4 linked regions of the Caenorhabditis elegans genome follow. The protein of the gene in region 2 purifies or fractionates together with the protein of the main gene of each other region. This does not show direct contact. Each region holds a gene or a part of one and is shown on either strand. Other genes may lie near its edges. The genes, in order: bcas-2, cdc-5L, sftb-2 and prp-8.

Region 1 (6,005 bases), on a different chromosome or scaffold from region 2:
AAGGTTAAAACAAAGCCTAATATTTTGAGCGCAACTTGCTCCATTCATGTATTATTTTATGTTATTCATGTTACTAATAAAAATTCTCAATGTATTTCTCACAAAGATATCGTAAAATGGCATGAAAAACAAAAGAAATCGAGCAATTTGGAGCCATTCTCCAACGGTGTGTAGTCGTGGCAAATTCAAAAGACGCAAGATCGTGGTGAGACCCGTCCCTCGTCGTCTCTCATGTCGATTTACGCGCACATTAACTGACGCGGGCTCCTCTCTTCCTCTATTTTCGATTATTTTTCGAATTTTCCCTCATTTCCCTCACTTTTAGATGCTACTAGAATGACTATTAACGGGATATGGGAGTGGGCGAACCACGTAGTTCGAAAAGTGCCAAATGAGACCATGCGCGATAAGACATTATCGATCGGTGAGTGATTAAAGTTTAATTTCAAATTTAAAAAAAAAATGTTCAGATGGCCACATTTGGTTATACGAAAGCCTGAAAGGCTGTGAAGCTCATCATCAACAAACTCCTAACAGCTACCTGGTCACATTTTTCACAAGGTAAGAATATTATTTTAAATGTTCCGAAATTACTATATCTAACGTTTTTTTGCAGAATCCAACGCCTCTTGGAGCTAAAAATTATTCCTATTGTTGTTTTCGACAATATTAACGCAAGTTCATCTGCTCATGAATCGGTAGGAAGGAATTGAGTGAAAACGTGTATTTGAAAATTAACTTCAAAATTTCAGAAAGATCAGAACGAATTTGTGCCACGAAAGAGGCGAAGTTTTGGAGACTCTCCGTTTACAAATTTAGTGGATCATGTGTACAAAACAAATGTATGTTTTTTTTTAAATATTATAACCTGTAAATTAGAAAAAAATTCCAGGCTCTTCTCACAGAACTTGGGATAAAAGTCATCATTGCTCCAGGAGATGGTGAAGCTCAATGTGCACGGTTAGAAGATCTCGGAGTGACAAGTGGTTGTATAACGACAGATTTCGATTACTTTTTGTTTGGCGGAAAGAATTTGTACAGATTTGACTTTACCGCCGGCACTTCTTCCACCGCTTGTCTTCATGACATCATGCATCTTTCCCTGGGAAGAATGTTTATGGAGAAAAGTAAGTAGTTTTCAGCGTTGAAAAAATAAAGTAATCGTTAAAAAGTTGTTTCAGAAGTCTCCCGTCCTCATCTAATTTCAACTGCAATTCTTCTCGGTTGCGACTATTTTCAACGTGGTGTTCAAAACATTGGAATTGTCTCGGTTTTTGATATTCTGGGAGAATTTGGTGACGACGGAAATGAAGAAATAGATCCTCATGTGATTTTAGATCGTTTTGCGTAAGCTGTTCTAACTGTGTTTATTATGAATATTTTATTATTATTATTCAGGTCATACGTACGCGAAGAAATTCCAGCTCGTTCAGAAGACACCCAACGGAAGCTTCGTTTACGACGAAAAAAGTATAATTTTCCTGTTGGATTTCCTAATTGTGATGCCGTACAGTTAGTTTTTATTAGAAGTTGCTGTATCTATTTTTTTTTTAATTTTCAGCAATGCAATTACGATGTATCTTCGGCCACCCGTATCAAGTGAAATTCCGAAAATTATTCCAAGAGCTGCAAATTTTCAACAAGTCGCAGAGATTATGATGAAGGAATGTGGTTGGCCAGCAACAAGAACACAGAAAGAATTAGCTCTTAGTATTCGGAGAAAAGTGCATCTGACGACAACTGTGGTGAGCAAATAATTTTAGAATATTCACAAAAATGTATATATTTCCAGGCTCAAACTCGAATTCCTGATTTCTTTGCTGCCACCAAATCGAAGAATTTCACACCGATCGTAGAGCCATGTGAATCACTTGAAGACTACATTTCTGCAAATAATACTTGGATGAGAAAACGAAAACGATCAGAATCTCCACAAATTTTACAACACCATGCGAAACGACAGGTTCCAGACAGAAAGCGATCTGTAAAAATACGGTGAGACTTTGTTGGAAAAATTATGAACATTTGACAATAAAAATTGTAAAACGAAAAATCTATTTCGAAATCACTCAAAATTAATATTTTCGTGCAAAATAACTTATTTTTAAAGTTTGTTTCCCGTTAAAAAAAAACAATTAAACGGTTTTATTGCAGTGCCTTCAAGCCATATCCCACTGATGTCATCGAACTTGGCGACTCGGATTAATATACAAAAAAAGTTCATCCAAATTACTCATATTTCGAATTTAAAAATTCATAATTTTAAACCCCCAATTCACACAGTATACATCCTCTCATTTTTATCCAACATTTGTCTCACACACATTCCGAAGGATCCTTCCACTTTTTTGTACTATTTCCCACTCTTTTTCTCCAAAAATCCCGTTGAAAATTGAAAATTCCCCTTTTGATTCTCGAAAAAATGGTTCCCGTTGAAAACTTCTTTTTTTTAAATCCGGCCGTAATAGTTTCTATTCGACTTTTTTTTGCTTATTGCTCGTCTCAATTGTAATATGATTTGATTGAACACAAGTAATTTGATTGAGAAATAATTCAAAAAGTCAATGTTTCTTGGTTTTTATTTTCGAAGTGTTAATTCATGTTAATCTTTATCTCTAATCTCAGAAGTTCATTATTTCGACAGAACAATTTCAGGTTCACGTGATGAGCTCCAAACCGTTAGCACTTACCGGTGGAAGTGGTTCTAGTCAGTTGCAGGATGATCAGGTAAATATTTTTGAGATTCTAAAATCAATTTTATCCACCTATCCAAGTTTTTAAGTAGTTTAAACTACTAGTTTCAGTGTAAAATGACTATTTTCAGGTTCTTGTCGATGCTCTTCCTTACCTTGACACAGAGTACAACGAGGCGGATCGACAGCTCGCAATGAAACTTGTGGAGCATGAGTGCAAGGTTCATTACTTCTGCCAATTCCGCCATATATGGAAAATTTAATGTTTTCAGACATTCCGTCCAACGAAAAATTACTTGACACATCTTCCAGTGCCCGACTATGATGCTTTTCTCACAAAGTGTATGCTCAAAGAAATGGATCGAATGAAAAAGAAAGAAGAGATGGGAAAGTTGGATATGAGTCGTTGTGAACTTCCTGCTCCATCTGCTGTTAAGGGAGTTGATAGAAAACTTTGGGCGAAGGTTAGTAGATAAATTTCAATGAATCAATAAAGGCAACTACTAATTAAAAAATACATCATAATATTCGTTTTCAGGTTCTTCGCAATGCAAAAGCTCAAAATGAGCATCTTCTGATGCGCCAGATCAATCTGGAACTTATGGATGAATACGCTGCTGAGAGTTATCTTCAGAGAAACAAAGTTATGGAAGATCTTCTAACACATGCCGAGAAAGAACTCCGAAAAACGAAAGAAGCCGTCATGGAAGTTCATGCGAATCGAAAAATGGCACAGTTGAAGGCAGGAGAAAAAGTAAAACAATTGGAACAGTCATGGGTCAGCATGGTTACCAATAATTATAGGTAAGACAAAATACTTTGTTCTAATTTTTAATTACTTATTCAACTTTTCAGAATGGAAATGGAAAATCGACAAATCGACAGTGATAACAGAAAACAAATCAAGGCGCTCAAATTGGATCCGACAAAGTTAGATGACAAAGAGGATCAGGAGAACTGATTTTGGATTTGGCTCTATTTAAAAAATGTTTTATACACACTTCAAATCGATACTCTTTTCACTTTCTCCACTTGTCCCTGTTATTGCCCCTTATTATTTTTGCATATTTGTTTAACATATTTTTATTCGTGAAACAAAATAAAACAATGGGAAATTTCTGTAAGATTCGTTTCAAGTTATGCAAAATATGAGAATCTAGGCGTCTTTATAAGGCAAGTTTTCTACTCTCGAGGGATCCTATTCTGTTCTCTACCAATCGACTGCCTCCTGTAAAATTATGAAGGGTAGGTTTTTCAAAAGATGATACCTAACTAGTTCTTGGAAAAGCTCTAAATTACAGTGAGCTGGATTTTTTAAACTATCAGGTTATACAAATCTACAAAAATGTCAAACTCGGAACCCCTTTTCAGTCGAAGTTTTGGCAAATTGCCAAAATTTTGAAAAATATGAGCTTAGAGATCCAAAGCAATGAAAAACATTTTTTGGTCGACTTCCAAAATTATGAGTTGCAAAAACTGAGTAATTGTCACTTTTTGACAGCAAATAAAAATTCTCAAAACTTTAAATTGTTTTCAAAACGATTTAGCTCTATAGTAGTAGTAATTTTCCAACTTGAAGGATAGCGTAGAAAGTGGATGAAAAAAGAAATGGAAAATTACAGTACTCTCCGCAATTGTCTTCATTGGAGTATTACATCGAGTGGCTATTGCTGGTTAGTTTACTTTCTGACAACAAATTTAGACACTTTCAAGGTTGGGAAATATTTCCAGATATTTCTAAAATTTATGTATTGTCTTGTTCTGACTTTGTTCTGAATTATCCTTAAAATTTCAATAAACCCCAATTCCATTCCAGGCAGTCTCCAAGACCCAGACCCTAAAGCAATACCTGGTCTGAATGAATTTCGGGGAATGAATATTCTCGGTTTCTATGAAGCACTCAAAGAACTTTACCTCACTGGTGGATTTTCAAAGAGCCTTCCATTCAATAGTATTATTCTTTCACAACTGTCGATTCCTGATATTGTTTATCAACAATTGATACGAGCATTTGAATTGACAAGATGGGAAATTAAAAATGGAGATTCTTCTTTGAAACGGTTAGAAGGAATTATTGCACTCAACGAGCCTTCTGTATTGCCTCGTGAACCATGGCTAATTCAACTTGCTACTACAATTCAAGCGAGCTCTAGGAACACTCGAAACGTGGCATTTTCCATTCGAGAACTTGGAGCGAAACTAGTAAAGGATAAATTCTCTAGGGAGAGCTACATAAATGGAACTGTTCTTCGAACTTATATTAATACTTGGCTCAATGCAGAATTACCAGAAGAAGTGCACAAAGCTAATTTGGTCGAAGTTTTAGTTACTTGCCATCATACTCTTGGCCCTGAAAATTTCGGAAAATTGGGTGACTTTCTTGAGATAATACCATTCCAGATGAACGGAATGTATAGAAAAGATTCCGAATTTTTGTATTTTTACGAACATCGTGTAGGAGAAGCCATTGCTAATTCGGATCAAACAGTGCAAATGTTGATTTTTTATTCGAGATGGTTTTATGAACGTCACTGCAACGAAAGATGTTAAAGATTCAATTATAAATCGTCTTGCATCAATAGATCTTCTTTCTTCTCAAGATCTTCAGATATTCGACGGATCACAACCAGGATCTAAAAACACAACAAGACATGAAAAGACTCTGAATAACTTGTCGAAGATTTGGGCGGAAATTGGGAATAAAGAACTGAAAACCAGATTTGTAAATGCAGCAAGACCAATCATCAATGAAATTGGAGGTTTGGAAGGTGCCAAGAGTGCATTGATTGCTGGAGCAAGACTGATTAAGAATTTTGATGGCTCCGTGGAAAACGCAAAACTAAAATACAATCAGTTGATTCAAACTTTCCAAGCTTTTCCACATTTCAAAGAGCTTCTCCCATTGGCTTTTGACATCACCATGCTTCTTAACAGAACTACCAATACAGAGGGAGTCACTGGATCTCAGCTTCTTTTCAGCTTAGTCTTTGAGCAGAAGTTCACACCATCAAATATGATATTCGAGTCTACGAAGACTAAATCTCTAGAAACTATGCAGACATTTTTCGGAGCAATAAATTTTTCGAAAACTTCAGGATTTGGGACTCTAATGGAAGTTCTTGCTAAGGAGAAGATTCGATTAAACAAGTTCAGAGATTATGTCTCAAAACTTGACGATGATAGAATATTAGTAAGGAACTTGAGAAAATATTTCGATGTTACTACAACTGAAGAAATCGGGAAAAAAGTTCGTTCGGCGCTCCAAAGTATTCGAGATATTTCATCCACTAATGAGGATCTCAATGAAATTCT
Region 2 (9,494 bases):
GTGAATGTAGGTCAGCTCCTCGGTTCCTCACATTCTTCATTCCATATTTCAAAAATCAATCATGAACACAGGAAGTGACATTTCACACCTGCTCCTGTCTTCCCGTGTTCATTTCCCGTTCTGATATCAACATACATCTGCTCCCTTATGCCATCACTCATTAGACAAAGACATCCATGATCCATGAAAAATCCGGAACATTTTCCTGTGAAGCTGGGGAAAATGAAAAGGACAAAAAGGTGAAAAAGTTGCAACAATTTTTCTTGTGGCGCACGCGCGCGAAATCAAACGTTGCGAGACGAGGAGTAATGAGGCGAATTGAGGAGGTATTGTGGTTACGCAACAAATCAATTTTTCTTTGGAAAAACTCTTTGGGTTTAAGGGGGTTTGCATGGATATTTAAATAAGAAGAAAAAGACTATTAATTAGCATGCTAAGTAAAAAATACACACATGGATCAGCACACACTTTTTGATCAAATGTTCCAGGCTTTCGAGCGATTTTTTACAGAAATAAATCATTGCTTCTCGAACAAGGGTGGGCAAACTTTTTCAAAGTCAAGAAATCAAGAAAAATCAAGAAATTTTCTCCGGCCAATATTTTTGAACGAAATTGGAAGAAATAGTTAAATTTATCAGTTTTAACTTATTTTTTTAAACAAATATCATCAGAAGGAACTTCGAAAACGGGCAAAACGTGCAAAACTAATAATTTTCGACAAAAACGTTTTCAATCTTTTTGAATTTCTTTCTGAAATTCTCGTTTTTTCAACTGAAATTGGGTTTTATGGTGTTTTTTGAGTTAATATATTCTGAAAAGGACAAAAATAGCGAAAAAAAAAATTTCGGAAAAAATAGAAAACCCAGTTTTTCAGCCTAAATTTCGAGTTAAAAAATTTCTTAATTTCTTGACACAATTTATCAAGAAATCAAGAAACAAGAATTCTTGACAAAATGTCAAGAAATCAAGAAATTCAAGAAATCAATCAATCAAGAATGCCCACCCCTGTTCTCGAAGACCCAAAATTTCAGTCAGTCACCAGATTTGCAAGACGCAAAAAGTAGTTTAATTTTGAATAATTACTTTTGTATGACCCTTGGTAAGTACCCATATGGCTCTAAGAAAAAGATTATAGAAAATTTTTTTCTGAAAACATGTTTTTTTTTCGACAACAATTTTAGAATTAGAATTAATTGAAACTCAAATCTGAAATTGAAACGCCTATTTTTACAGAACAGTTCAAAAATCAAATGAATTCTATAAATCCAACTAGCTTTCTCTTGCGACACACCCTAAAACTACAGTAATCCGTTTCATGAATGTTTGATCAGCCGATGAGACTCCTCACACCTCCGTTAGTAATTTATTCGTTAAAAAGAAAGAGAGAAGCACCTTCGTAAACATACACACTCAGTTTTACTTCTACCGTATTCCATTGGACCAACCACGCCCCGCGGGAGACCACATAAAAATGGCAACATTCCTTTAAACCCACCAAAATCACATTACCATGTATAAATGCATGTATCCCCCTTTGCTTCGTTCACTAACACCATTGCGCAACACTTTCCCAAAAGCCGGTCGGATATGTCGGAAGCCGTTTGTAAGATAAGGATTGCCATAGTAAAATGACGATTCATTTGTTCCACAAACGGATGATCGAAGCCGCTAAAACACAGAAAGAGAGAAACAGTTCAAAAACACAATAGGAGATTACGGAAGAAAGGAAGAGTGTGATCCGAAAGAAGCGAAAAAAAACAGAGGAAGAGATAAATAAAACGATATATAGGTAAAATGTTAAAAGGAACAAAAAAGCTGAGGGCGCCAAAATTGAATTAGTATGTAATCGGTGCTGATGTGGTTGAAGCTGCATCGTGGATTTCAATTTGAGACAGTTTCCATTGCTTATCTGAAAATAGGAAAACCATGAGTTTCAAGTCACAAAATAAATGTAAGGCACTTTGAGTGACCTAATAAATCAAAGCAGGTGTCACCAAGAGACGACCACACAGCTTGTTGCTGCTTCTCTCAAAAGACTGTATTGTGCTCATTCAGTCAAGTGTCAATTTGAATGACAAAACGAAGAATGAATGAGATCTCTTAATCCTATACACAATTCTTTTGGAATTTATGTGCACAATGAAAGTTGTACTATTCTAGTTAAGGGTCAGAGGAACGAATGAAAACTTACTCGACAACTTTGAATACATCTTTTGAAGATCCTTCTCCCGAGTTTCTTGTGTTGTGACTTCTTGTTGAAGACGCCCGACGCGTTTGTTGATTGCCTTCAACTCATGCTCTCCGAGACGTCTGAAAATTGATTATATGAATTCTAAAAAATAAATATTTGTGCTTACTCAAAAGTTTTCTTTTCAATATTAGCCATCTCAATCTCGGTGGTGACTTCCTGATACTTTTTACACAGCTTGTCATGAATAGCCTGAAATTCAAAAATCACTATTTGAAGAAGGTTAGGCACAATTTGGTTCTAAAAGAAAACTTGAAACGAATTCCGTTCAAAAGCTGACCGTAGAACCCCATTCAAAAGTAATTCCGCCCATTTTTCTCAACGTTTCTCGGAACTTTATTTAATTTATTCGAGGATTTTGCGTAGTTTCTGTGTCGACTCTTCAAGTGAAATGAAAAAAAGAAGAAGAACACAAGTCATAAATTACTGTAACGTCTTTCTAATCCACCCACTTTCTTCTCCGAACCCTTTCAACATCACTCAGCACTGTCGCCCATTTCAACACCACAGGGGGGAGCACCCACGCGACAGATAGGCGTTTGAATGGGCACATCCATAGAGAGTGGAGGACTATGTGAATGAATTGAATAGCAGCAGAAACCAACAGGCGGGTTGGTGGTGGGAGACCCGAGATCACCATTAAAATGGACAGAATATCTTGTTAATTGAAGAGAACAAAACGGGGGCATGAGAAAGTCAAATAAAGAAACATTATAAAGGGAAAACTAGGAGATTTTGTTTTAAATTACAGAAAATAGACCGCAAATATAACCGTAAAAAATACCATACATTTTGCTAGATTCTTTATGATTTTTCCCCGTTTTGCAAAAAAAATTAAAAATGGACTAATTATTTTTTGAATTGCGGGTTTTTTCTTGATTACCGTATTTCTTCTATTAATATGGCCTCCCTATTAGACTTGCACTCCCTATTAGTATTGCTCCTTGAACACCCTCCGAAAATTAGTATTGCACTCCCTATTAGTGTTGCACTCCCTAATAGTCTTGCGTCTACTTTTTTTTGGTACAAAATCACCTTACTAATTTTGAGATTTTAACAACATTTTTTGCCTACTGTGCAACAATTTTTGGAAAAATTTCTATGAAATTGAAGTTATTACACCTTTTTGTTGCAATTACAATCAAATTTTCTGAATTTTCACACAAGGTTCGAGTTTTTTCAGAAAAAAAAATAGTAAGCTCAAAGTCAGAAAAATGTTCTGAAAATTAGTATTGCACTCCCTAATAGTCTTGCACTCCCTATTAGTATTGCAAGCGGGAAGACCATCGAAAAATAGTATTGCAGCCATATTAATAGAAGAAATAAGGTTTTTTTTTTAACATGTGATATGAAATTTTTCAATTTTTCAGAAATTTTTCCGCAAAGAAAACTCGATAACCCCGAATAAATTATTTTAAACTTCAAAATTAGTCTAAAACGACATTTCCACATAAATTTAGAATTTTGTTGAAAATTGTCTGAAAATTCGACAAGCCGTGTTTCAAACCTAATATTAAAGAAAACCAGTCTGATTAGCCAGAAAACGCCAAAATATATTGCTTCTGATACTTAGTGAGTCATTCATTCACGCGGAAATTCAAAAATATTAGAGTTTTTTTAATTTTCCAAAGTTGAAAAAAATCATAAAAAATCTAGAATTTTTTTACAGTTAAAGTTACATTATTTAGTTCCAGGAACAGATTCTTAGACGGAATGCTCACCTGATAACCGCCCAACTTGACTCTCAGCTTTTTCTCAACTTTTGCAGCTCGTTTCGCCCGTTGATTCATCCATCCTCTGTACATTTGGAATTCATCATTCAAAGCTTTCATCTGTTCTTCTCGTGGTAGGATAGCAATACGTGTGAACTTATCTTTACTCAGAATAATTTCCGAAGTACATTGTTCGACAACTTTCCACATTAGACTGTTCAATTCTGGTCCTGATTCAGCTTCTTGTTTGATTAAATCAGCAGCCGCATCAAGCTCTTCACGGGAGTAGATTACTGATGGTGGCTTGTTGTCTACGTCCCAAGCAAGAAGTTTGCTCATTTCGGCTTTGACCATGTCATCTGCTGACGAGTTGGTTGCCCGTGTAGCTTGTTCGTTAACTTTTGTTGGTTTTGGAAGTGATCTTTGAATGACTTGTGATCGCATTTTCATATTTCTGACACGATTCTCCGCATTTCTCTTTGCTTTATTTTCAGCTCTTTCAGATGCATCTTCAATCCATCCATCTTCATCTTGGTTACTCTCATCTTCAACAGCTCCTTCAACTTCATCATCATCAGGTCCAACGACTTCAAAATCATTTTTTGGAGTTGGCAGACTGGCCAAAGCACGCTTCAGACTAGCTTTTTGTTCTAAAGCTGATCCAGCAATCTCCTCGTTAATACGCATTTGATCTCTGAACGGAGTTGCAGCAACGCTTCCAGCTGGAGTAGCGAAACCACCTGGTGTGGATCCGGGAAACTGTGATTGAGTTCCTGGCGTGGCTGCAATTGCATGGAGAACTGTGTTTGGAGTGGCCGCAACTTTGGGAGTTGGTAGAACGCCTTTTCCGAGTTCTGATTCGTGAAGTGGGGTGTTCAACCCTCCTTTCAATGCTGATTCGGTATTCTGTAGAGCCATTAGGTTTTCGAGTTCTAATTGAACCGTATCCTTGAGCATCGGTGTTCTCATAGTTCTTGCAGCAACTGCATTGGCTCTTGCTGATTCAGTGTAATCAGTGAGCAATCCACTTGTAGCTGTTCCGTCAATATATTGCCGAACACTGTCAGATGCATGACCAATCTTGACGATTTGTTCAAGCTCACGATCAGAAATCTGTGGTTCGGGTAGGACCAACTTCGAACGTTTTTTCTCTTTGATGTTGAATACCGCATCGGCTTCTCCTTGTTCTTTACGCTTTTTCAGTTTTTCACGATCCTCTCGTCGCATTTCCATTTCAATTTCGCGGCCACGTGGTTTTTGATGATCTTCGATGGCTTTCTGGTTTGCATCTTCCACGACATATCTGTCCTCAGATGGATTATGGAATCCAGCTGGAACATGTTTTTCGAATGGAATCTGAAACAAAAAATGGGATTAGAGACACTTAGAGACAAATTTTTCAATTCAACTAACCTCCTCACTGTAGTCAATTTGGTTTCGCTTTGGCTTGAACTTTCTGGCAAAAGCTAAGCCAGCTGCTCGCATCTCCCTTCGTTTTTGAAGCGAAGCCAGACGACGTGCATCAGAAAGCTGACGCTCGCGAGCCTTTCTCTTCGCCTTTTTTCCTTGAGTGTTGGCCAAACGTGCACGAGCCTCAGAGAGCATTTCCAATTCTAAAACGTGAAATTAGAGTTATAGACGAGTTGAACACATACCATCATCATCCATGTCAATTGGATCAGGTCTCGCTGGTTTTGTCTCAGGTGTTGGATCGATTTCTCCAGGTTTTAATTTTCTAGTTTCAGTAGCTTCTTCATCAAGACCTTCTGCTTTTCGTTGAGCTTCATCCAGCAAATGCTCATATCGTTCCAGGCACTGCGCTGATGTTCTTCCGACAATTGGTGCAATTGTTCTCCATTGCGTTGGCATCAGCTTAGCGAGATGAAGAAGTTTTTCATCTTCTTCACGTGACCATTCTGTCTTTTTAATTCCTGGATCAAGCCACTCGAACCAACGAGCCTGAAATCATATTTTTGTGCAATCAATTTTTGAAATTAATCCGAAATACCTTGCATTGTTTTGCTGATTTTCTGTGCAACAGTGAAGCAATTCGACTCCATTGATTTTTTCCGTATTTCATAATAGCTGCTTTGAGGATTTCATCCTGAAACGTTTTATTTTTGTGAAAACAACTTGATTTGCAACTAACCTCTGTATTCTTCCACACACCTCCTTTGATAATAACTCGCACCATGTTTGGTTTTGCTTACTGCAACGAAAACTAGATTTGCGAATTTGAATGGTAAAAATTGAATTTGGCACCAATTTGATAGATTAAAGAATTTAAAATAAAGTCAACTCGGTAAATATTTTAATCAACGTTACTATTTTGAAAGCTAACGAGTGTTACGAACAAGTTGTATTGATTTTTAAATAATTCGATACTAAAAATTCCCGCAGAATACATGGAGATTACTGAAACAAAAAGGCAAAACAGAAACTATCAAGAAGAAAATGTGTATTTTTCGAATGGAGCTCGCTTTCGAAATGTGGAGGACTAGTACACGAAGGACAATACGAGGCCACGGCCATTAACCGCCTTTAAATAAAAAAGATCGACAGTGCGCATAAAAACTTCATTTTCAGTACGAATTAGATATAAAAAAGAAACATATTGGGTAGAGTTAACATTTGCGAGTTTAAATCACAAGTGTACTCTAAATGCACATAAATCGGAAACCATGTGAAAACAGCTATAAAACAATGAAAAATTATTGTTAAAAGAAGAAACAAAAACGAGTTTCTGAAAATTCTATAGGGAAAGGGGCACAAATAAGATTATGGAATATGTTGCTAACGTGCAGTTTTAATGGCACAGATGTGAAAATCTGACACGTGGATTAGAAATGTTTCAGAGACGAATGTTATTGTTTTTACCAGTCGTGAGCATGTACGTGAGCAAGCGTTCCCATTCATTGTTATCGCCGAATAAATCCTTCAAACTTCGAACGAATTGGAACATCCCCACAATCATAGTAACATTCTGTTCCTCGATTAACTTATCGAACAATGAATGGAGATTCAAGAGTTTTGGGTCAAATGAAGATGTTGCATCGATTTCTTCGATAATTGGGCTTGGCATCTCACCAACATAAGTAGTTGTCATAGATTCTGAAACGAAAATGATTTTAAAATCTAACGATTTTGACACAAACCACGACTATCATGAACAATTCTAGTCGATTCCATCAATGAAGATGTTGCAGATTCATCACGAACTGAATAGTCGACAAAGCACACCGAACAATCTGGTCCAACAGACTTTATCACATCGAGTGCAGAATGTGGAAAGTGAATGATGTTGGCATCGGACGAAGTAACTGCTCCACGTCTCTTGACAATTTGTGAAAGCCACTCAAATTGACCACGCTCATTTTTCCAAACCATATCGATGTTAAGAATTCTCTGCAAACATTAAACAAATTTCTAAACAACCATCTGTAAACTCACGTCATCGTTTCCATGAAAATATCCACCCACAAATCGTTTTGTATCATCATTATCAATGTTTTCGAACATCACATCCTGCTCAGAAAGCGTCAAACCCAGTACTCCATGCAATGTTGCGAATACAACATTCGAGGGAAAGTGTTTGAAGCTGGCTTCTTCCGGAATCGGGAACAAATGAGATAGATGTACATCCACGAAATATTGATCATCGACATCAGCCAACAAAACCAACACTTCACCATCTTGTTTAGCTTGTCCAACTATCAACACTCTATAATAGCGCACCTCCGCTCCTTGTCGATAAACGTAGACTGCAGCTGATCCCGTGCGGACGGTTTCACGCTGGAGCTCCACAATAGGCGCTACCATCACGGCCCGCAATATATTCCCCATAGTAGCAACCTTTTCAACGTCCATTTCTTCACGTTCTTCATCTTTTAAAATCAACAAAAATCCGCGTGGCGCAATAAACATTGCAGGCTTGACCACTTTAACAGATTGTTTCTTGATATGGGAATTTCCCAGTGTCATCCAACGTAAATCAGACTCGACAGGATCCCGAAGATTGTTCTCTAGGAGTGGCAATGTAGTCGTGTCAACGTGGGGATCACAAAGGCGGACCATCATTTCTCCAGGTTGAGTTGCATAAACTTTGAAAATGTTCTTTCCTAAGTCGACGATAATCTTATCACAATCCGAAAGCGCTTCATAAGGAATGCTACCATGAGTTTTTACGACTTCAGCAAGATTTTGTGTTGGATTGCGAGGCTTGATCGTACGATGACGAAGCACTGAATGATTGCGACGAGATGATTGAATAGTTAGAATAGATGTGTTGTCTGTAAATTCAATATTTGTTCATTAGCAGCGAAAATGTTTTCTCACTGTCGTCTTCTTGAGCACGCGACTGACGAAGAATTCCATTTTGTGGAACGAGTGACGAAGATACCGGACATTGTTGGCTTGCCACAGAGACAGTTCCAAAGCGCAATGCAATGTCGGTCATATCAGCGGTTCGATCTCGAGATATAGCATTTCCTGGATAGTCATCGATGCTTTCTTGATTCGAGTTGAAAATTTTTGAATCTTTGCTTCCATTTTCTGGGGGCACTTCGAAACTGTTGAACCCGTCACTGAAAATTGATAAATAACATCTGAAAAACAGTGATCAAAATGTGCCCTTACAAGGAATCGGATGTTTGATCTCTAATAGTTGAAGGAGCGGATACTACAGATTGTTCAAACGCTGAAGCTGAACCTGTAAAATAAATTACTATTGGAAAGCATCATTTGATCACTTTTACCGCCAAAAGATTCAGATTGAATAGAAACATCTGCTGACGGATTTTGTTCACTTTTTTGAGTTGGATCGGCATTGTCACGATCAATACAATCAACGAAGATGTCACCTTTTTCGCTAAGACGCCAGAAATGCAGATATTCGTTGAAAGGAGGAACATTGAGCTGAATGTATAGTTCACTGAAATCAAAACATTCAATTTAGAACTGACTATAAAAGCGCAACAATACTTTTGCGCAAGTGAATTACCTTTCCGATATGTTCTTTCCCCATGCTGGTAAACAATACAACTGTTTGAACTTATTGGCAAGAGCTGCCAGTGTTACAATCTTGCGATTTGGCTCATCAGGATGTGAAACTCCTATCTCATCAGCATATTCTTTCAAAACCTCTGCAAGGTTTTTTACGCGAGAAATTGTTTTTGCTGGACCCAACTTGTGTCTTGCTTTGAATCTAAAAAACAAATCATTGACAACGATTTTTTAAACTTCCACATACTGCTCAGGTGTTCCTCTCGATTTAGCGATTTCCTCTGACGCATACGGACCTCTGAATGCCCGGAATGATGACCCATGAGTGCTGAGGTTATTAGTAGCTCCTGAACCTAAAAACGAGCGGGCCGGGCGTTTTGAGCTCGACTGCTGCTGGACCATTTCGATAATATCTTGGTTGGCTTCAGTAGTTCTTGGCCCATATCGGTGTATTCCATCACGGCCGAAAGTGTGTACAATTGACTCCGAGCATGCTTGAAGAAGATCGTCCAAAGTCGAACAGTTATATCTTT
Region 3 (8,196 bases), on a different chromosome or scaffold from region 2:
CTTGGCTGCACAGCTTTATTTTCTCTGTTTTTCACCAACCTTTTATGTGAAAAATTAACATAATCTTCAGTTGTTGCAAAAAATTCTGATAAATTTGGTGAAAACCAGTGAAAATAAAACGTTTGGCTCGGGTCGATGTATTTTTGAATAAATTGGGGTCCCGCCACGAAAAAGTGACGAAATTAACTAGAATTTTTTAAAATTCTGAATTCAGCTCATTGAGAGCTTTTAAATAAGTATACATCACGACTATGTTCCACTAACTGTGGAAATTTTGGGTCCTGCTACGAAAAAGGGGTTACAGTTCAGCATTTTCGTGGTAGGAGGCAATTTTTGCAATTTCATGAGTTTATACGAATTCAACTCAAAAATTTAAATTTTTCTGCTAAAAATTGTTATCCGAAAATTTGAATTTTCGAATAAATTTGGGTCCCGCCACGAAAAGTGACGAAATTACAAAAAAATTCCTAAAAAATCTGAATTCAGCTCATTGGGAGCTTTCGAATAAGTATAATCATGACTAGGTTTGGTCAATTTTTAAAATTTTCCAAAAATCGGGTCCCGCCACGAAAAGTGACGAAATTACAAAAAAATTCCTAAAAAATCTGAATTCAGCTCATTGGGAGCTTTCGAATAAGTATAATCATGACTAGGTTTTGCCAATTTTTAAAATTCTCCAAATTTCGGGCATCGCCACGAAAATGAGGTTACTGTAGCATTTAGCATTTTCTTGGTGGGAGCCGATTTTTGAAAAAGTTTATTCAAATTCAGCTCGAAAATTAAAATTTTCCGCTGAAAATTTAAATTTATCGGCAAAAAATTTTTGTCAGCAAATTGGAATTTTCGAATAAACTTGAGTCCCGCCACGAAAAGCGACAAAATTAAAAATAAATTACTAAAAAATCTGAATTCACCTCATTGAGAGCTTTCGAATAAGTATAATCATGACTAGGTTTTGACAATTTTAAAATTCTCCAAAATTTGGGTCCCACCACGAAAAGCGACGAAATTAAAAATAAATTACTAAAAAATCTGAATTCACCTCATTGAGAGCTTTCAAATAAATATAATCATGACTAGGTTTTTCCAATTTTTAAAAATTCTGCAAGTTTTGGGTCTCGCCACGAAAATAGGGTTACTGTAGCTTAGCAGTTTCGTGGTGAGAGCCAATTTCTGCAATTTCATGAGTTTATTCGATTTCAGCTCGATAATCTAAATTTTTTGCGAATGAATTGTTATCTGAAAATTTGAATTTTCCGCCAAAAATTTCAATGTTTTAAATGTTTTAAACAATTTACAGCATCCAACCAACGCAGAAAGCACGACCGCTGGCAAGAATCAGGAGAAAGGTATTTTCTTTAATTTTTAAATTATTATCACAACAAAAAAATTATTAAAATTCAAAAATTAAAGTTATAACTACAGTACCCCCAGAACACTAACTTTCTCTTCGAGACCCAAAAAAATCAGTTTACTCTAACTACAGTAACCCTACAGTAATCCTAGAATACGCATAACTTTTTAACTCCATTTTTTACAGATAAAGCTGCATTTGGTTACCTCCTCGAGTACACGAAACGGAAAAATGTGATGCCATGGAAAGCGATGGGAATAACGATGGGAAGGCAATTTGTAGATGGAAACACAGGAGGGACAGGGAAAGAGTTAGTGGCAAAGCTCTATCCTCTGCAAACGGACGATGTCAACCTTCAAGCCCAGGCCGAAATTCAAGCCTATGCCCGCCTCATTCCAGTCGCCAAACGGTCTCCCAACTTTACGCCTCTCAAGACGTCAGCTGTGGTTTAAAAACTTCCCGAAGAGTTGCTGCCTGACGATGACATAGCTCACATGCTTGTTTTGGTGATGGAGAATGCCGGATCGCTGTTCGGCCAGCGTGACCTGACGGCGGACGTAGCGACGAGCATCCTACGTCAATTCGTCTTGTCGACGATGCTTGCAAATAAAGCCGGGGTCTTTCAAAATGATCCAAACTTCGGGAACTTGCTTGTGAAGGAAACCAAAGAGGACCAGCTGGTGTTCAAGATGATGGTGAGTTGCTAATTTTTTTTCAAAGATTAGGAAAATTTTTAATTTCAGTTCCGGATCCCACCAGCACACCACACCAAGATGTTGCACAAGTGGCTCAGGATTTGAAGGAACTCGCGGCGTCAGTTGCAGATCGTGATGTTTGTGACAATCTGAAATCCATAGTTTAAAATAATTATTTCAGAAGCTTGAACGTACTTTTGCTGGATGTGTCACAGCCACTTCAATGCAGGACATCTATAATAGCGACTTGTTCAAGGACTGATGGTGGGATCTTCACGACTCTGCTGCGAAAAATTCTCGCTTAATTAAACTTTCTGTGATTTCTGTTTTAATTCATTCCTGTCATAAATACTCGATTTATAAATTTTTTCCCCATTTTTTTCTCCTGGTTAGAAAGAAAATATTTATTTTTCATATTTATTTATTTTTCGTCTTCTTCATTTGCTCCAAATCCATTTCTCTATTGAATTCTTCTGTTGTTGAGCAGCTCCAATCTCTGAAAATTGGTAGATGGAAAATTTAGAAATTTTTTGAATTTCAAAAAAAATTGCTTTTTTTTATATTTTCCAATTTTTCAGATTTTTTAATTTTTTTTAATCTGAAATTTTAATTAATTGTTCAGTGAAAGTACATTAGAAAAATTAGAAAAAAAATTACTGCAAAATTTGAATTTAGCTGACTATGTTTTGCCAATTTTTGAAATTCTCCAAATTTTGAGTCCCGCAACGAAACGCATCGAAATTTCAAAAAAATATTGCAAAATCTGAATTCAGCTCATTGAGAGCTTTGAAATAAGTATAATCATGACTAGGTTCCTTTAACTTTGGAAATTTTGGGTCTCGCGACGAAAATGGGGTTACTGTAGCTTGACATTTTCGTGGTGGGACCCGCTTTTTGCAATTCTAAAAAAATAAAGTTTTTTTTATTTTCGATTATTTCTGGAAGCAAAACGAAACACGTTTTTTTTAAAATTAATTTTCTAAATTTACTTATGATTTTCGACTTTTTTTAATTTTTATTTTTTGAGAAACCGAAACATTTTGAAATTTATTTTTTTTATTTTTAAAAAATTATTTTCCAATTTTTGTGCACTTTCAAATTCTTATAGTAAAACTTTTCCAAAAATGTATAAAACTCTCAATTACAGAATACATTTAATTGAAATTGTGGGGCGATTATTTGGGGTGACAGAAAAATTGGAATTTAAGCTTAAAAATTACAAAAAAAAAGAGAGAAAGAAATAATAAATTAAAACAATCAGATTTTCAAAATTTGAAGTCCTTATGCTTCTTGCCACTGGATCCTGACGACGAGGATGATGACGTCTTGTTCTTCTTGTCATCTTGAACTTTGCGTTTTCTCTGAAAATGAAAATTTAATTTTTTGAGACGATATTTTTTTCTATTTTTTCAATATTCACTTTTACAGTACTCATATAGTATCCCTACAATACTACAACGAAGAAAAGAAAACACTTTTTTTCAAAATTACAGTACTCCTACAGTATACCTAAAGTCCATAATCCCATCCATTATCGTTTCAAAAAGAAATATTTTTTCAAAACTACAGTACCCCGGTATCTCCACTATTTTTTCAAAATACAAAAACAGTACAGTATCCCTACAGTACCCCTAAAGTTTTACTACTACTACAAAACACCTACAGTACTCCTGAACACTGGTGTCAGAATGTCTCTTTTCGGTTTGATCTCCGAAAAATGCGGGAGTAGAGACGCAGAGTTCTCAACTGATTTTGCATGGTTAAAAACGTGCCGCCGTCATTTTTTTTTTGGGCAAAAAATTCCCGCATTTTTTGTAGATCAAACTGTAATGGGACAGATTGGCACCGCGTGCTGAAGTAATTTTACAGTAATCCTACAGTACTACTAGAGTACTTTTACAGTAAAATTAGGGAAATTCCAACAAATTTCAAATGTTTCTTTGAATTTTCAAGAAATTTTTTTTTTCGACACACTAACATTCTGTTTGGCAGCGTGCTCAGCCACCATATCCGTCAAATCCTCTCGATCCTCATCATCATCATCCCGATGCTTTTGCTTTCGGAGCTGCTCCTCGTACCGAGCCGCCAGTCCTTGCTCATCCATATCAATAGACTCAGGATCCAGCGAAATCTGAACTCCATCGTCACGAACCGCATGCTTCTTGGAAAGATCATAAGTATGGGAGGATGCCATCATTTGTCCACCGATACGTTCGTTCTTCTTCTCCGGAATGATATGATAGGCAGCCGCAGGAGTGTCTGTTCCGAGCACAGAGCTCTCTTTTCCTTTCCGGAGCTCAATCGTGTCAGGAGTCTCGATTCCAGTGATTCCAGTCGTCATTCCAGATGGTGTGATCATTCCCTCAACCGGTGCAGGTGTCTGGAATCCTCCTTCAACATCAGCATCATCATCGTCGGCATGTTCTTCCTCCTCCGACTCTTCCTCGTCACTGCTCTCGTCGGATCCGATCTCTCCCCAATATCGCCGCTCGATTTGCGATTCGTCTTCGGGCTCGAAAGCTGGAGCGGCCAATCCGAACACGTCTCCGTACAGAGGATGTCCGTACTCGTCGACTGGTGGTTTTCCCCAACCTCCTGCGTGATAGCCGAATGCGCAGCCCTCTGAAAATTTCAATTTTTTTTCCATTTTTACGGCTTTAAAGTTGTAGTCGAAATTTTTTATTGCTTTATTAGACTCGAAATCGTTTAAACTACCGAATTTCATAAGCACACTTTTTTAAAACCTCAAAAAAAGTTATGGTGGCTCAAAAAATGACCTACAATCCGTTAAAATTGAAAATTTAACCAACTTTTCAATGTGGCATCTCCCAAAATTTACCAAAACTTGTTTTTTTTTTGAGTTTTTAATTGATAAATTTGGAAAAATTGATCAAAATATAGCACCTCGCATTAAACATTAATTTGTCGTGTCGAGACCCAGTATCGTATTTTTTGCTTGAAAATCGTGAAAGAAGTTATTTTTTATTTTTCTAAATTTGATTTCATAATTTTTTCAACCAAAACCAAATTTTTTCTGAATTTTCAGACATTTTTTTTTCGTAAAATGTATTTACTGAACATAAAATTGTCAAGTTTGTCTTAATTTCTTTCAGGATAACATGTTTTTGCGAAAAAAATATCTGAAAATTTCATAATAATTTTTTTTGGCAGAATTTATGAATATTTGTGTGTTAAATTATGCGAAGAAAATTTTTTATCAAAAGAAAATTATTTATCATTTTGCAAAAATTTGGCGCTTAAAGCGGGTCTCGCCACGATCTCAGTTCTTGTGGTCGGTACAGGTGCAAAAATTCACAGATTTGTTAATTTTACGTTGAAAATGAAATTTAGCAGGCAATTTTCTAGGTTTTTGGTAATTTTATGTTGAAATGTAAAATTTTTCATAATGTTTTTTAGATTTCTGCTCTAAAATAGTACATCCAGAACATTTTACCGTACCAGGAATCGGCGCATTCAATCCAGGAATCTTAATATGCGGAAAACTGGGCGGTGGTCCGTAACGTTGCATCGCAATCAACCATGGCGGTGGAAACTTGAACGCATTCGATCCGATGGGCATTCCCAGTGCAATTCTAAGCTCATCCGACATTTCACCCGGCTTCTTGTCTCTCATCATCGCCTCCATCTCTTTTCCTTCATAGTAGAGCTCGCCCATTTTTGTCATAGCCGGCTTGGTTTGCCATTTGAAGAACGCGTCGTGAAGTTTTTGATAATCAATATCGATTTTTCCAAGCTTCGGGCGGGCCCGCTCTCTCATTTTTGATTTAAGGCTCTGGCTTTCTTCTTTTTCCAGCAGCGCTTCTCTCATATCCTGAATTCCGGTTCTTTTAATAAAATCTGGCAACTCAAATGGTGGCCGTTCGAATCCTCGCTTTCCGGCGAGATATTTACGCTTTGCATTCCAATGGCGTGGAACTGGAACTGAATTTCTATAAGATTTCATTGCGACAAGGAGATACGGATCACGAGAAGTCACATCGGCCCATTCAACAACATCGGCTCGAAGTGTCGTCTCTTTAAGCTTTGCAATACTCGGTTGAAGAGAAATTCGGAGTTTTCTACGCGAAAGCTTCTCCTCTGTGTTTTCTTTGGCACGTTCTTCCATCTCCTCTTGAATAATTCGCTCGGCCTGACCGACTTTTCCCAAATCATCCTTTTTCTCGCCTTTGGAAACGTGATGGCCGTAGGAGAAGCCGTCTTCTGAGTCGGTGGAGATCTGGAAGCCGATATATTGGAAAAACATTAACAAATAGTGATATGTTACCTTAAAAGCATCAAAAATTGCGGAAAAGTATTGAGCGTGCGGGTTATCCGGCTCAATTTCAATTGTTTCACCGATATAATCGATTTCCACGTCAAGATCGTCACCATTTTCCTCCTCTTTTTTCGGCTCCTCTCGTGTTTCTATTTCAGCTTGCTTCGTGGCTTTTGCTCTCTTCTTCGATTCCTTCTTCTTTTTGCTTTTCTGCTGTTTTCTCTTCAACTCCTGAAGCTCCTTTTTAGATAGGTTCTTGTTAGCCTCATCGTCTGAATTGTAGTCATCCTCGCCTGACATCTGAAAAAGGAAAACATTTAGTTGAAAATTGAAAAGTTTTCAATGAGGAAAAGAGGTTTTTAACCGCAAAAACGTTGAAAAATCTAAAAATTCGCAAAAAAAATTTAATTCGAAGAGTACGCAATGGGTCGGTGTTTGCGTACCAAACACTGAAACCGACGCCAAATACTCTCCGTCTCTCATTTTTGCACACTGTTTTATCATTGAATTTTCTCTTTTTTTTTTAAATTTTTTTAAAGCTTTATAATGCTTTAAAAAGATTAAAAACAGAAAATTCAGGTTGAAATGACAGAGCCATCTACATCAGGAGCCCAAGACCATGACGATTATCTAGTCACTCTCGTGAGTTGCAAATAAGCTGAGAAATACTGCCATTTTTTATAGATTTCTTTTTTCAGAGCTCCCCTCAACGCCAGTGCACCATCCGAGTTGTTCAGCCAGCTTCTGCATTAAAACGTGATTATTTATAAATATTATTTGTGAAATTAATTTTTTTTAACCTTCAGGAAAACTCCCAACTTCATCAGTTCCCGAATTCAATCCAGACTCCTACGGGGAATCGATTCCCGAAAATGCTCCAAGGCCTGTCTGCGAAACCTGCTCCGTGGCCTGGTCAACATGGGCGGCATACGAGTTCCACATGCTCCAGACTCATATAATATACCGCCCGTTTCGATGCTCTGGATGCCGGAACTTGAATTTTCACACCGAAGATGAAGGAAAGCACCACCTGGAACATTTTCATGGTGGCAAACCTGGCAGTTTTCAGGTGAAATTTAGTATTGCGTTTTATATTTTATTTAATTAATTTTTAGCTCATCAAACAGACGGATTTTGCAAAGGAAAATCAGTTGATCGAATGTCTGGAAAATGCAAAAACCACCGAGCAACTCGGAATTTCGAAAGAACGACTTGAAAATGGGCTGAAAATGATTGAAAAACTTCAAAAAATCAAGTTTAAAGCTGTGAAAGTGCATCTTCCATGCTGTCTTCGCCATGAAATGATCTCAAAACACACAGAAACTGAAAAAGAAGCGCCGCCACAAGAAAAATCGGTTACAAATGCTCAAAAGCCCGGCAATCCAGCACTTCTGTCTCTGGAATCCCGAAACTACGACTACGAGCAACAAGATACTGTTGGAATTTGATAAAAATGAAATATTCATTCGATTTTCCGTCAATAAAACTTCATCACAAGATTTTTATTCGTTTTTTGAAATAAAAATAAAATACAGATTTTAGCGCAGACATTTAATGTTTTATTCATTTTTCTCAGTTTCTTCTGCTACTTTGGAAGCGCTTTTTTTGCGAAAAAGCTTCAGTGACACAAGATAGGAAGGCTTTACAAGAATGTGTACTGAATTCTAATTATTAAAAAATTTTATAATTAAAAACCGCGAGGCACAACGCGAAATGAAGAGGCGCAGGCGTTTGTCCGCAAACACCGTCACGCAACTTTGCAGACTTGAATTTTTTTTGTTTTTCTTTTCCAGATTTTTCCAGTTTTTTCCAGATTTCTCTCTAAAATTAATACTTTAAAGCAGATAATTTTCGATTTTAATCAACAAATT
Region 4 (7,425 bases), on a different chromosome or scaffold from region 2:
GAAAAATTAAAATTAACTATTTAAAAGAAAAGTTCAGAAATTTTTGAGAAAATTATCTTTGCTAAAAGTATATCATTTTCAAACAACATTTCACATAAACTCACTTGCTGTCTGCCATCAAAGAAGGCCTAGACACATTCCACTTGTATTGAGCAAAGAGAAGTACGTCGGCACACGAACTGTTCATTTTGTAAGACTTTCTCGGATGGATAGTTTCTTTTTGGACTGTTTGAATCTCAAGTGCATCGAGTTCCTGATCGAAAACTTGACACAGATCCATAACTACTGACTCGTGAATCTTTTGCCACAAGTGAGCACGGAAGATTTGAATGAGAGAAATCTTGAGCGTCGGGATCTTTCCGTGCATGAAAATTCCAGTCAAATCGAGTTGTACTTGGAAACCGACGTAGACATTAGCACGGTTGATAGTTGGAGACCACCAGAGAGTGAAACGACGATTCGGAATTTGATTAAGTCCAGAACGTTGGGCGTTTGTCAGTTTCTTGAATTTCATCGACTCTTCGAATCCAGATGCACGTTCCCAGAACAAACCTTCCCATGTTGGGAAGTAGGTTCCCTAAAAATACACATATAAGACAAGAAAGCAAATTATATCTGTTAACACTTACCCTGAATAATGTATGTTCCAAAATTCCTTCTACTCCTCCAAGTGCTTGAATCATGTCTGTTCTATAGTTGTTCAAGTTCCATAACTTTCCGTCGTGTCTTTGATGTGTCCACCAGAATGGATTTTGCTTCAGAATTTGATAAGCCTTGAATTCGGTTCTAACACGCCATCCTTTATCGTATGCCAATGTGTGACGATCTTTTTGGAACAAAGTATTGATTCTCGGAATTCCACGATCCCATGAATCGTCGAGATCTTCCAAAGTGAGTCTTCTATTTTGAGCGTTGGCTTCTTGTCTCTTGAGCGCATATTCTGCCCACACACGAACAGAATCGACAAACTCTGCTTCCCAAGGTTGAATATATCTGTACAGATTTGGAATCAATTGGTCTTCATCGTGACTCATTCCGGAACGGAAGTGAGTGACACCTCCAGCTTCCGTTTGTTGCATCCATCGAAGATCAGACTGTGGGATCAAGACGTGTCCCATAGATAGCATTCCAAGTCCTCCGATTTCTTTTGGCGTATAGAAAACAACTGGAGGGAATCTTGAGGGCATTTTTGAGTTGAGTCCAATCTTGATTCTCGTTTGAATTTTATTCTCACATTTCACCAATAAATCCAAAAGTTCTTGAGTGTTCACAACAGCTTCTCTGAAGTAGGTCATCAATCCGATCAATGCTGTATTCCATTTGTTGACAATTTTGGTGAACGTTGTAGATCCAGAAGACATCAAAATTTGACGAATTCTGTTATGGAATTTGGACAATGACTCCTCATCGACCTTCAAGAAGCACTGAGCAGTTCTTTCCTTTGTCACTTCGTTTTGAAGATTCCATACACCATCACGATGAACAAACTCTTCATTAGCCGTACGACACTTTGGTAGAATACGACACTCGAATCCGGACATGTCGAACAACATGTTCGGGTTATCCTTACTGTACACTGATACGAATGAATTTTCCCACTCGACAGTTGTGATGGAACGTGGGAGACGGTTCTGTAAAATAACAAATATTTAAAAATCAAAATAGTAAATTCTACATTTTAATGTACGCCTGTCAAGTAGACCTTATCATTCAAGTTAAATGATGGATCTGTTCATGAGGCGGATAATCGCTTAATTTCCATTAGTTTTCGAGGAATTATCAACGAGCAGCCATCGAATAATTGCTCGCTTTCTTATACCTCGTGTTAAAATTTTAAAAAAATAATTAAAAATAAAATTTACCTTGATATCCCAGAAGACAGCACGACCCAAATTGACATCATGTTTCATCAATCTCATTCTAGCGTCTCTTGGCCAACACTTTTTGTTGTTATAACCGACAATATTCTCATTATTCGGATCTGGATGCTCTGTCAAGTATCTTTGAATCAAATCACGTGCTTCATCAGCACTGAAACGGAACATGATCCAAACTCGGTCGATGTACCGGCAGTAGAGACGAATAGGGTGACCAATTTCTGTGGCAACATCCTGGAATTGCAAGAACTCGTTTGGACATTGGGGCGGACCGGCAATTTCGGAAGCTCGTCGAAGTCCAAGAACAAGAAGATCAAGAACTAATCCATAGAATTGAACAATAAACGAAGCAAATTGTAGACCACGAATAATTCCGAAAGAATTGGTGTGGTTCATATCCTTATAGTTGATGAGAACGTTGTTCTTCGAAGTCATGTAATCGGCAATATTGTGATCCACAATCAATCTGAGCAATCTATTGAGAAGTGTCAAATCCATTTTTTCAGCAATTTTCTCCAATTTTGTTTCCATGATGACATTACACTCTCCTTCACTTGTCTCCCAAACATCTTGAAGATTGTTGAGACCTTGACACCATTTGTATGTAAGAAGCGGTGGTGGTTCAGTATCTCCTGGTTTCACCCATGCCGGGAACAATCTTCTCTTGTCTGCTTCATACCAGAGGTATTGATCGAGGTAAGCGTCAGTGACTTTCTCAAGAGGCTCGATATCGTAGACTGGAATAAGATGAGTGTAGAGATCCATAAACTCAATTCCGACTTCTTTGAATGCACGCTGCGTGAGCATGTGTCTCTTGATACGAGACAAAGCTTCGTGAGGATTATCATAAGCCTGTTCAATTAAAGCCAGTTCTTCTCTTTGGGATTGATTCAATCTATTCTTCACACTGTAACTTTCCTTCAGTCTTTCAAGAGCCAAAATAAGAAGTTTTGTGTCGTGTTTGTAAGAAAGTGGTGGGAAAGGAATCGGAGAAAATCTTCTTGATTCCAGCCAATGTACTGTAGTCGTGTAAATTGCAACAGCTTCTTCTGCAGAGATATATGGTCCGTCCTTCAAGTAATTGTGTTGTCTTTCTTGCTCTGATTTCAGGTATAATCTTGTCAATCTACCCAAGTTCTTCTTGCACACAGTTTTGTCTACTGTCGCTCCTCGTCTTACACGTTCTCTGTTGTAATGTGCCGAATTAGTCCACCAATCAGCCTTTGCTTTCACATAACGTAGAATCATATTTTCAACTGGAGTTGGCAGTCCGGGAACCTTCCATGGAATATTAGCCTTCCAACATCTCCACGCCTCTGACAAATGCTGAAGAATAACACGAGCCTTATTTTGTTTGATTCCGTCCGGCATCATATCCAGAATGTCATGCATGACAGCAGCACTGAAAATATTAATAAATAAATTCGTTTTCTTGCCATTTAAAGCTTACCGTAATTCAAGATCGAAATGAGATTCAACTCTTTGCTTGGTGACTGTCTTGGCCACTCCCTTTGAATGTCTTCCTTCGAATTGTCGAGACAACAGATTTCCAAGCCATCTCTCGAGCAGTGGTGTGATTCCACGCAAGAAGAACAACCAAACTCTCCATCCCGGAGCCCAAAAACCACATCCAGGTCCTTTACCAACCGGCCCAGTGTTGAAACGATAGTAGATGAGATGCTTGAGATCCTTGCACATTCTGACTTGTCTCATGAGCTTGTACTTGTAACGATACATTCCGGTCAGTTGACCGACGTGAGCAAAGATATATTGTAGACCATCTGCAAGTTGGTACGCATCGACGTTGTTCAAACGATACTGAACATGGGCATCAACAACAAGTTTTGTGAGACGAAGGATTTCTCTGCACAAATGGAATGCATTTCCGAAACGAGATTTCTTTCTTTCCTTTGTTGTCAATGTTTTAACTGGTTTCAAATTGAAGTTGTAATCAAGATGAAGATAGTTGAGATTCTTTCGGTGAATGAGCAAATTGAGCATGTTGTATCCTTGACGAAGAACTTGCAATCCAGCTTCTACCCAATCCAGGGTGGTTGTTTGGAAGAATTTTGTTGCCTTGAAGGAACGGAACAGATAACGACGCTTCTGGGGCTTCGGTGGACGATGTTTGAGAGCGTTCAGAACAAACACCTTGAGCAGTTTCTGATAAGAAACACGAACTTTCACGGGCATTCCTGAAAAATTGAATATATTATTTCAGCTTAGTATGCGAGAAACGAAACGAAAAAAATAGAAACAAAACTAACCTGCTGGACAATGTTCTCTATACCACGATTTGACAAGTGGTACATCCACTGCTCTTCTCGTTCTTCCCGATCGAAGATTGAATGGCCGAGGGGCCCATAGAAGTGCTAAACCATTAGCCGTGTTATCGGTGTAGAGTGGAACGTCTTCAAAAATGGGTCGAACATCTTCAGGCAGCTCCCACTCGTCTTCCTCTTCACCTTCTGGTAGATTTTCTTCAGTCTGAAAATGTTTTGACATACAATACGAATTGTCTCCAGTTTTATTTCTAGATATCACCGACAAAAAGGATGATTTCTCGCCTTTAATGGAAAATTTATATTGCGAATTTCGGCTACTGACTACCTTGTAAATTTATAGGAATCTGTTTATAATATCCGCATTTTATTTTAAAACATTGCTGAAACTTGTAAATAACTCACTGCTTTCAAGTTGCTGAGAACGATTGGATTGATCAATGGATCATAGTAGAATGCGGGAAGATCTGGGTCTTCAGTTTTGATAAATACAACTGAAGGAGTATGATACCATGAAACTTGAACAGGCAGCGAGCTGATCAGATTGTTGTACATGAATGGGAATGCAATTCTGTACTCGGTACGAATTGGAGCTCGAATAATAACTTTATTGATATCATTGAACTCGTTCCAGTCTTCATCACTGAAAATAATAAAATAGTATGCGTCATAACACAACTGGAAGCTTTTCACTTACGTATGTAAATCTTTTACCAATGGTTCGAACTTCGGGCCTCCTGGAATTGCAACGTTGAGTGCTTTAGCAGTGAAGAAACTTTTCATGTCAAACAAGTAGAAGTAGTTATCATCTACTAAATCGGTAAGCAGCTGATTTGCAAGACGATACAATGTGGACATCTGTGGAATACTGAATGCCCATTTTCTGTACGTTGGGCCGTTCACAAATCGAGTTGTTGCAAGAGGCTTGTGATCGTAGAACCATTCAGCAACAGCTCCGTCTTCTTCTGGATCTAGTTCCATTTGAATTGGCTCTAAAGGCTCGACATCCAGAATATTATCAGCATAATCGAGAGGCGGTTCTTCATCGTCAAATGGAGGGAATCTCATTCGCTTGAAATGACGACGATCACGTTTTTCTCTTCTCATCATAATCCACATCGTTCCCCATTGTGCCATGTAGACCGGCTCGATGACACGCGGAATGTCGTTGACAAAAGTGATCGCACCGGTGATGTGATACAGAACTTTTACATCTCTGATTTGTTCCCAGGGCATCGGCATGTTCTCCAGTAGCTTCAAAACGGCATGTGGCATATATTTCAAAGCACCGAGGTAGACTCTTTTATCATGACGATATTTGCGAGAAGTCATATCACCATGATCTCTGATAACTTTTCGGACGTGCTCAGGTGGCATTTCTTCTTTCTGCGTATCGGACATTCCAAACTTCTTTTTCTCCGAATACCGCTTTCCTTGAAGTTGTTTCCATTTTCGAGACTTTTCTTCCAGAATTGAATCCGGGATAGCATGTGGTTCAGTTTGGGGATGACCGCCGTAGTTGGCCATACCTATAACACACTATATAAAAATAGAATTAAAACTAATCAATGAGTTGACGAGCAAGGAAAAATAAGTATTACTGTAGAGAAACTGGAAAGAGAGATTTGTCTTTGTTTAGACTGTAAGATCACATGAATTGATAGTTGGAATTGTGCATTACAGTTAATAGCGCACAAAATTTACATTAAAAAACGGAATTTATTCAGACTGAACCAGAAAATCATGAATAAAAACCGATAATTTCTATTTTCGAAAGTAAAATTTAAATTTCCTTAAATCTAAACAACGCGCGCAATTGTGTCGAGTGGAGCGTCGTACTTAGATCTGCAGGTGTTTGAGGTTACGGTGCCCGGTAATTCAAACACTCTTCGGCGTAATGTTTCGATCAATAGACCCGCCTCTTCTTGGCAGCCATTATTTGCGTTCGCGTTCGCCGCCGCCGAGGAAAGACATCTGCCCGAAAAAATTTATTGATTTTTCGAAAACTTATTGGCATTTTCTATTGCCCTCAGAATCTGAGTAAAGCTTCTGAATTGCAACTTTTCCTTTTTCAAGTCATGTGACTGGGGTAATATCATTTTTTCGAAACTGTTCCGAATTTTGTACAAATATCAATTTTTCGAAAAGGAAATTATTTCCAAACTGTCATTGTTACCCATTTTATATTGAAATGTACCACATTTATTCCTCATAGACGAGTTCATGAAGATCTCCTTTTGAAAACTTTAAAAACTGTCCAACTTAAAAAAAAGGTAGTATTTTCGAATATCAAACGGCGATTTCGTAATTTTAATACTTTTCTAATATGTGTAATTTTTCGTAGATCGGTTTCGAAAATCGTATTGCTTATTTCGTAACTCTAACAAAGAACTCCTGCTTTTCGTAAATAATTCATTCGCGGAGTTTCCCAGTTGTTGTGTCTTTTTGAATTTAATCATTTTCTTTTATTTTTATCGAGATTATCGGGAATAGCTTTCTTTTAATTGAATTTATTTTCAGAATAACCTCTTGCTCGCTCAACTTATCAACAGAGGTAAAACTTATTCGCAATATAATATGTCTTCACGTTCCTCGTGGTCATCCACGGAGCAGATTAATCGCACAATCAGTTCCAGAGGTTAGTGAGAATAGCTCAATTAATTTGAGAGTTTAACATTATTTTCATTTTCAGCTGACGATCTTCCTCCACAACCTCGCCGTCTAGAAGTAGTTTCGAAGCAAGCAACGCGTGTGACGGCACTTTCTACAAAATTGGAATGGAAAATCGAACAATTTGAGAAATTGATGAAACTAATCAAAAACGGTTCGAATCTTATTTCAAGAATGTTTAGTGTCCCTGATGCGCCAACAGTTTGCTGGGAACTTCATGTGTATCCAAATGGAAAGCGTGATGAAGATGTGAATAATGTATCGTTTTTCTTGAGACAAGTTGGATTAGCCGTAAGTTTCATTCATATTTTCTATATATAAAATATAAAAACCTTTTTCAGAGAGGAGAGGAGCCCATCATGACAGAATTTCAAATTTATGCTCTCGATGCTAATAATCAAAGAGTCAGTGTATGCAGAGATACCAAAGATTTCACAAACCAACAAGGGCGTGGAAAGTTCCAAGTTTCGCGTGATAAGATGCTTGGGGCACTTCGATCTGACGGAACTCTCTTTTTGATTTGTGAAGTTGAATACTTCCCTCCTGGATCAAAAATATCAGTTGAGCCAGTTGTGGACGAAGATGTTAGCACAGAG

What was found.
Region 1: the proteins of cdc-5L (region 2) and bcas-2 fractionate together in Caenorhabditis elegans (co-fractionation; one large-scale study listed by BioGRID). This does not show direct contact.
Region 3: the proteins of cdc-5L (region 2) and sftb-2 fractionate together in Caenorhabditis elegans (co-fractionation; one large-scale study listed by BioGRID). This does not show direct contact.
Region 4: the proteins of cdc-5L (region 2) and prp-8 fractionate together in Caenorhabditis elegans (co-fractionation; one large-scale study listed by BioGRID). This does not show direct contact.

The regions. Positions count from the first base shown.
Region 1 is NC_003281.10:6,242,479-6,248,483, reverse strand, and holds bcas-2 (Pre-mRNA-splicing factor SPF27), read left to right. Parts: upstream 1-2,655; 5' UTR 2,656-2,664; coding exon 2,665-2,727; intron 2,728-2,824; coding exon 2,825-2,914; intron 2,915-2,965; coding exon 2,966-3,157; intron 3,158-3,231; coding exon 3,232-3,497; intron 3,498-3,548; coding exon 3,549-3,654; 3' UTR 3,655-3,812; downstream 3,813-6,005. Other genes in the region: gen-1 (GEN1 Holliday junction resolvase homolog), read left to right, coding at 337-424, 471-561, 617-698, 753-842, 893-1,127, 1,182-1,347, 1,399-1,512, 1,562-1,745 and 2 more.
Region 2 is NC_003279.8:8,487,966-8,497,459, reverse strand, and holds cdc-5L (Cell division cycle 5-like protein), read right to left. Parts: upstream 6,170-9,494; 5' UTR 6,155-6,169; coding exon 6,110-6,154; intron 6,065-6,109; coding exon 5,969-6,064; intron 5,920-5,968; coding exon 5,616-5,919; intron 5,574-5,615; coding exon 5,374-5,573; intron 5,317-5,373; coding exon 3,970-5,316; intron 2,441-3,969; coding exon 2,358-2,440; intron 2,311-2,357; coding exon 2,192-2,310; intron 1,910-2,191; coding exon 1,836-1,909; 3' UTR 1,605-1,835; downstream 1-1,604. Other genes in the region: lotr-1 (HTH OST-type domain-containing protein), read right to left, coding at 6,812-7,071, 7,116-7,365, 7,411-8,249, 8,296-8,543, 8,596-8,668, 8,715-8,890, 8,960-9,163, 9,209-9,494.
Region 3 is NC_003283.11:126,666-134,861, reverse strand, and holds sftb-2 (PSP proline-rich domain-containing protein), read right to left. Parts: upstream 6,626-8,196; coding exon 6,335-6,625; intron 6,287-6,334; coding exon 5,509-6,286; intron 4,672-5,508; coding exon 4,028-4,671; intron 3,411-4,027; coding exon 3,315-3,410; 3' UTR 3,191-3,314; downstream 1-3,190. Other genes in the region: W03F9.2 (C2H2-type domain-containing protein), read left to right, coding at 6,911-6,967, 7,024-7,081, 7,132-7,394, 7,441-7,773.
Region 4 is NC_003281.10:8,162,638-8,170,062, reverse strand, and holds the start of prp-8 (Pre-mRNA-splicing factor 8 homolog), read right to left. Parts: upstream 5,691-7,425; 5' UTR 5,687-5,690; coding exon 4,857-5,686; intron 4,803-4,856; coding exon 4,565-4,802; intron 4,524-4,564; exon of another isoform or gene 4,391-4,523; intron 4,365-4,390; coding exon 4,145-4,364; intron 4,073-4,144; coding exon 3,328-4,072; intron 3,280-3,327; coding exon 1,863-3,279; intron 1,850-1,862; exon of another isoform or gene 1,680-1,849; intron 1,632-1,679; coding exon 630-1,631; intron 578-629; coding exon 105-577; intron 1-104. Other genes in the region: bath-42 (BTB and MATH domain-containing protein 42), read left to right, coding at 6,737-6,797, 6,852-7,120, 7,171-7,425. UniProt on the Caenorhabditis elegans protein: Functions as a scaffold that mediates the ordered assembly of spliceosomal proteins and snRNAs. Required for the assembly of the U4/U6-U5 tri-snRNP complex.